2 linked regions of the Saccharomyces cerevisiae S288C genome follow. Changing the gene in region 1 together with any one later gene gives a genetic interaction. Each region holds a gene or a part of one and is shown on either strand. Other genes may lie near its edges.

Region 1 (3,758 bases):
ATAAACTTACCTGCTCAACTTTAGACTTTAGCATCGAAAATTATGGGTCGTTTAGATAAATAATGAAGTTATTCTAAGCCGCACGTAGTAACAAATCTTGAAGTAAAGGACACCAAAAATTGTATTCCGTGCTGTGGAATGTTGGTGCCAGCATTAATCGAATGGTCCATTTCTTTTCTTACCTTTTTGAAGGAACTGATCCTTCAATTCATATTTTTCACTAACGAAAGAAAATAAAGATTTAGTAGGATACCAAGTACTAAAAGCAAAAAAAGAGTATAGTATTTACATAATCTACATATGTGCAAAGGCTCCTCCTTATTTAGAGAAGAAACTTTCCCTTTCCTTAACCGATGCGGTAATTCAACACGTGAATTTCAGCTATTTTAAGTTTGTTTGGTATTCACAGTTCAGAATATTTCTTTTTGAGTCAGCTCATTTCACGTATTTGCAATGTATGTCATTTAGTTGAGATGATAATGAAAGAGCCCCACGCGCTGGTGCGATCTATGATGAAAAATGTAAATACGAAACTTTACTAAAAATAAATAGGGCAGAATATAGATAAGCAAGAATAGAAAGATCACAGATTTGACTGCACAGTCAAATGAATTCTCTCATCCCTCTTTTAGTGGAAGCATCAACATACATTGTAAGAGGAGAAAGCAGCATCTCAATTGCCATTGGAATAGGGCCTCAAGCTAGCAGGAGTGTGCCGTACCACATTCTTTGCAGGGGATGTGACGGCACGGTAACAACTTTTCGTACGTGGCATACGCAACCACTCGGGCCTTGCAATACAATCATCATAGGCAGAAAAGGTAATGAGACAACCGGCGGCGCAGAACAGAGGAGGCAGCAGCACTTAACGTCTGATTCAGCAACAAAAGCGTCATTGGTGGGTTTTTGTGGGCTGTATTATTATTTCAGGAAATAGTAACTGAACGTGTCAACTTTGCATTAACGCGTTTTTCCTATTTGGGTACGGAGATATTTATGTTTTGATAAGCAAATGCTTCAATTGTGCCGTGCGCATCATCAATCCCACTCACTGAGGAACTCTATAATGAAAAAAAAACAAACAGGCAAAAGCAGATAGACCAATAATTGATATCTGATTTTTCACAAAAAATGCAGGAGAGATCAGCATTAAACGGATCCATCACATCCACCGGACGAATCCGTCTCAAATATGGCAGCCACGCTGGTGTGACACATAATATTACTGCAACACTTCTTATCTCATTATTTTTATCATGGTAAAAGAAGTCAACACTATGCGAGGAATACCAAAAGAAAATTTGGTTCACATCATGGTGTCAGTAAAAGCAACCGACAAAAATCGGGGGGTTGCTGTCCGACGTAGTTTCTTCGTTATAATTTTCAATAATCCCACATTTCGTTGTTAACCTTTTGCAAAAATTGATGTAGTTTGTTTTCCTCTTGGCCCCTGTTGTGGTTACCGAACACGTGAATCGCCATTGCGGTTGTCAATATCAGCCCATTGGGTTTTATGAAGATTCGTAACACCTTCGATTATTTAAGTTTATTCTCTTATCTACAATAATAATAGCGTTCTTTTACAATTGGACGCTGTTATCTTACTTCTGAATGTTCATGGATTGGAAATTTTCAATCATTTCACGAATTATTAGCAATGAAGATAAGTAACATTAAAAAAAATATTGATATCAACTTGCTAGGTTTCTTCTCGCTTCAAAAAAATTTATAAATGGGAATGGAACACTATCCTGTGTAAACTTAAGTCATGTCTCAAGTCAGTTGTTACTTATATTCATTCCTATCGAAACATCCCAAAAAATAATATTTGAAACACTTACAATCATACATTGAACGTCTAAACAACGGCGGCATTTTTTTAATAGCAGAAACGAACATATTAGCTTATTCTACAACTAGTAGGGTTTGTTATACGCAATATTGCTGTTGAATTATTAGAAATTATGAGTGAAACAGTCAAAGATAAAGTTATAATTGATGAGAAGGTATCCACAAAAGGTACTGTTGATTACGCCGAGGGTGCTGAGTATTCTGAGAGGCTTTCAAATCATTCATCAGACTTTTCTCAGTGGTATACGGATGAACAGATACTGCACTTTATGAAGAAGCTGGGTTATGAAAATCGCACTCTTTATGATATTCCGGAAGACGTTGCGTATATCCTCAAAAAAATGCCTGAATTGACACTTGAGGATTCCTTCAAAATACTAAAAGACTCTATCATCTATTTCAAGGATGATGAGAACATTCCACACGATCAATATGAGGAGTGGAAGAGATTGGTTGACTTGGAGGACTTGGATTCAAAAGAGGGGATAGATGAATATGATAGCTTTGACATTAGAGCATTTGCTTCTGCTATTAAATTTCATTCGCCTTACCAAGAGGTTAGAGCTGTTGTTGATCCAGAAGATGATCCCACCATTCCAGTGGAGACATTCCGAGCATATTTTCTGGCAATAATTTGGTCTGTCATCGGTTCAGGATTTAATGAGTTTTTTTCACACAGGGTGGTTTCAATTTCACTGAATACTCCAATTATCCAAATGTTTTTATATATCTGTGGTAAGGCTTGGGCTAAAACTATCCCCTGTTGGACTATAACCATCAGGGGCAGAAAGTATGGTATCAATATCGATAAACCATGGACCCAAAAAGAGCAAATGTTTTCAACCTTGTTATATGCAATTTGTCAAGGCGCGTTCTATACTCATTACAATATTCTAACGCAAAAACTCTTTTACCATTCTGCTTTCTCGTTTGGCTACCAATTTTTACTTTCGTTATCCGTACAATTTATTGGATTTGGATTTGCTGGCATCCTTAGAAAATTCGTTGTTTATCCAGCCCGTGCACTATGGCCAACAGTCATGCCAACTATTGCTATCAACAAGGCACTATTGGGTAAAGAAAAGCATGAATCTGGAATGAGCAGGTATAAATTCTTTTTCTTGACTTTTTTTATCATGTTCATCTATAACTGGTTTCCCACTTACATTATTAATATTCTAAACACTTTCAATTGGATGACCTGGATCAAGCCAAGTAACATTAATCTCGCAAACATCACGGGAGGAGTCACTGGTCTTGGGATTAATCCTATCTCATCTTTTGACTGGAATGTTATTTCGTTTAATTCTCCTTTAGTTTACCCATTTTGGTCATACTTAACACAATATCTTGGTTGCATATTAGCAGCTTTAATTGTTATTGCAGTATACTATAGTAATTATATGAGTTGCCAATACCTGCCAATATTCACAAATTCTTTGTATACTAATACTGGCCATTCCTTTAAAGTTACTGAGGTATTAGACAGTGACAATAAGCTAGATGTGAAAAAATATCAAAGCTACTCGCCACCATACTATAGTGCTGGAAATTTGGTATCATATGGTGCTTTCATTTGCGCATATCCTCTGATGATTACATGGTCGTTTATTGTACACTCAAAGTTATTGTTCAATGCTTTCAAAGATTGGGCTTTGAATTTGTGGGCCATGAGAAAACTTAAATCTTGGGTCACAATGTTCAAAAGCGATTACAGGGCGCTCGACGATTATGATGACCCACATTCTAATGCCATGAAAAACTATAAAGAAGTTCCAGATTGGTGGTATTTTGCCATATTGATAGGTTCACTTGTTGTTGGAATAGCTGTTGTAGAGCACTACCCAACAAATACACCAGTTTGGGGTCTTTTTGTTTGTTTAGGATTTAATTTTGTTTTCTTGATT
Region 2 (3,758 bases), on another chromosome or scaffold:
ACACCTTTTCCATCGGCCTTCTCGTCTTGTTGAGAAATTTCCAAACTATCATTAGGAGTTAATGCCGGAACTTCCATTGTATTGTAGATGTGAAGCTGTACATTAAGATCTTCTAGACACATCAGCTCCGGCTTGTAAGCCTCGAGTACGTTAAACCCTCTAACTGCAATCACTAATTTTATGAATTGTTTTCCAGTTGCCGCTGACGTTTTTCCAAGTTTAATGGCGTGTGCAATGGGCCCTGGCAAACCAGTACCTCCCGTAAGTAGCAAGACGTTATCATAATTATTGACTGGAGATGAAGAGCCATATGGACCTTCTATAGCTAGTCTCATAGATGCCTTACCTCCATTGCAACACACATACTTTTTGACAAGTTTTGTTACTCCCTTTTTTTCCTTCAGGATAATAGTCAGCTCACCATCTTTGATAATTGAATCTAAGACTGTGAAAGGATGTGACTGCCAAAAATACAGGTGGTGTAGGAATGAAACGAAAACATACTGTCCTGGTTTGGCTTTCCATAGCCTTACTGGTCGTTTGACTGTGACTCGAATGATGTCATCGCCAACTAACTGTAAGGAAGCCTTAGGGAAACCGAAATAAGATACTCTAACAATTCGAATTAGCCTATCAATAGTCCAGATAGCAATAGCAGCGTATATCCACTCAATCCCACTCAATTCTACGACGTGCTCCCAACACGTATAAAAGAACAATGCGCCAAGCACAATATGGAGAAATAAGAAGGCTTCATAGAAAAACTTTCTGAACATTGCCAAAGAAAAAAACACCATAACACCAACTATACAAAGAGCAGCTACTCCAAATTGCCAATATGTCTCTTCCTTGCTTGCTGCCCAATCTTTGTAGAATACGGAATAACTGGTATAAGCAGCGCCATGAATCACAGCATCTAAAAACATCATTCTTCCCAACCACTTATGAAACATTATGAAAGAGGTATATTTTACTCCAGAAATGAATTCTAGAAAATTGTTCCTTCCTGCGAAAAGAGCTATTAGGGGAAAATGTGCAAATGCCAGGACACCACTTCTATCTGCCACGTATCGAGCAATCTGTTCTCTACGAGAGTCGAAAATTAAGTTGTAAGGATCATATTGATACCCGTATGCCAGAAAAACTGTATGAAGCACGAGGTATCCAAGTATAATGACGCCTTCAGATCGTGTGGGAAGGAAGCCTGTAAAAATTTTAAGGTAAGAAAAGCTCGACGCATGTTTACCCCAGATAGTAGGTATTGTCAAATATCTTCTCACATATCTTACAAGTCTTTGTTTAAATAAGGCAGTTTTAAACGGAGTGTAACTTAGATAATGGAGTATGCTGGCAAGAATCATAACACCTACAAAATAGGCGCAAATAATACCACCATAAGTATGACCAATGTCGTAGTTGGCGTAGAAACCATGGTAAGAATAATAATAGTTTTCTCTCACTTGGGCATCCATCTCGATTGGATACGTAAGATTCGCGCTACCTTCAGAATACTGTATTATGTATGTTGTTCCATTATTCAGCATATTATAGAAATCTGCATTAGTCATATTCTGAAGGTTATCAGTGTAATATGCGCAGTCTTCTTTGATAGCAGCAAAGGTTTTTTCAAAGGTTCTATTGGAATAACCCTTTTCATTCAATGATTCGTAAATACAATACAACATTGACTGTAATGCCGGTTCATATGTACATGCTGGTGAGGAATATAAATCGTCACTACTATACTCCCAGGTTACTTCGCCGAGAACTCCCATGCAGGCATCTGTCAAAACCAGTGGTAACTTGCCGTACATTTTTGTCTTAGCAGGGGAGGCGCTTGCTCCTGACAAGCAGCATAACAAAATAGAACCACAAAGGAGGACCCAATACATTGTTTTCCTTGTGTCTTATAATTTTTGAATTGAGAACGTTCATCAGCAATTGAAGTTAATCATTCTCTTGCCACCTTATATAAGTTGCGACGAATCTTTTAATATAAACAATTGATCAAATTCTGTACATCTATGTCAAAGATGAAAGCTTCTGACAGCCAAAAAAAAGAGTCTTTCATCGCCAACGAATCAGTAGCTTTTGTTAGAATTAAGAAGTTTGGCTTTTCGCCAATTCTTTGAGATGAGGTACACCCACATTCCACGTAAAACTCAAATATCGGTCCAGGAAAATTCTCGAGTTCAATCACGTCACCAATAGTAATAATAATTGTGCTTCTCTTGACACTCGCAAGGGACTTATTCTTTACCATTCAAATTTTTCTCCTATTATACACCCGAAATAAAGGCAAAATGAGATATGGGTGCATTTTACAAAAGAGGTTGCAACTATCCCGTTCGCAGTGTAAACTATGATCTAGGGTCAACAAAGCGGTTAATTTGTCATAGTTCTTTGCAGCTTTTAATTCTCTGATATCTTTCCCTCAAAGTGTATTGTTTTCGTAACTTTAGATTTTATCTAAATGTTTCATTTCCGGCGCATTATTAGCAAAAGGGTGCTGTCTCCCTAGCTGCATTCCCAGACCGGAGGCACAGAATTCTGTAGTGATACTCTGTCATTACTTACTGCAGAAAAAGTTAAGTAGCCGCTCAGTACCTCTTAATTGAAATGAAAAATTTTCGTCGCTTATTTCCTGCTTTGTTTTTGAGTACGTTTCCAATCATTTTCTGGCGTACTTCGTGAAAGGGTAAAATTAAAATACTGAAAGCATTCATATGCTGATATAGTGCAGAAAAGCAATGAATGCTAACAACTTCCCGGATATCTGAGCAACTGGATTCGATCAGAAAAGGCACTTTTTACAGACGTACGTCAAAGCTTTTATCTTTTGGCTATCTTCGCCAACTCTATAAAAGGCTGTACTCCTATAATTAACTGATAAATAATTCCCGAATCATACTAGTATTTATTTTCTATGAGTTGTGCTAAACAACGACTTTTTGAAATGCAATATGCTGAAAAAATCACTTTTTAGTCGCAAAGTCAATTTTGGGTGATCGAGGGTTTTATCTTTTTATGCACATGTAATTCTTCCCAAGAAATAGGAATTTCTTCCCAGATGATATTTTCCAACACTGCTTCGTAGTTATAATAATCTTGCAATGCCAACCGTAAAATAGTAACGCATTTCTAGAAGAATTTCGCAATTCATTTTATATTTTTTAATCAAATGAGAAAAAAGTATAACGATTAAAAACTCTCTAACCATGTATTGGAAAAAGATGTTGCAACTTATGTAATATTCCTTGGCAGGGTTTCCGGGGCCTGTGCGCAACTTTAACGCCATTTTATGCAGGCCGAGCATTCTAAGCCTCAAAAAAAGTTGTATCTCCGAACCTGCCAATCTTTACTGTCGTACCAACCAAGGGTATGAAAAAAGCAAATAAGGCCTACAGCTTATTCAGCTTAGTATACTTCATCAGATTTATGATAAAATTTTTTTGCACTGATCCATCATTTTTTTATGGAACTGGTGGAGGAAGCTAGTTAAACCGCGAATTAAGTTAGGCGATGCGATGCGCCTACGTATTTTCAAAGTTTTACTGAAATTGGCTCAAAGCATAATTGTGATTGGAATGGGAAGCAATAAAAAAATGACTTTTGAAGTTTTCAGTTTGAATGACTTTCGATTAAATGTTTTTATTGATAATTGAGCGAAAGTGGTAGAAAGTATGTACTGGCTATTTTTCTTCCAAATATAGCCGAGACCGAACAAAATTTAAACAAAACAATTAATTAAATTATTC

Evidence for each region. A genetic interaction does not mean that the proteins touch.
Region 2: mutations in OPT2 (region 1) and FRE3 together harm fitness more than expected from each alone (negative genetic interaction), as found in Saccharomyces cerevisiae (one large-scale study listed by BioGRID).

What each region holds. Positions count from the first base shown.
Region 1 is NC_001148.4:925,144-928,901, reverse strand, and holds the start of OPT2 (Opt2p), read left to right. Parts: upstream 1-1,964; coding exon 1,965-3,758. Other genes in the region: YPR195C (uncharacterized protein), read left to right, coding at 608-937. UniProt on the Saccharomyces cerevisiae protein: Transports tetra- and pentapeptides. Does not transport glutathione.
Region 2 is NC_001147.6:1,053,679-1,057,436, reverse strand, and holds the start of FRE3 (ferric-chelate reductase), read right to left. Parts: upstream 1,893-3,758; coding exon 1-1,892. UniProt on the Saccharomyces cerevisiae protein: Siderophore-iron reductase responsible for reducing extracellular iron prior to import. Catalyzes the reductive uptake of Fe(3+) bound to di- and trihydroxamate siderophores.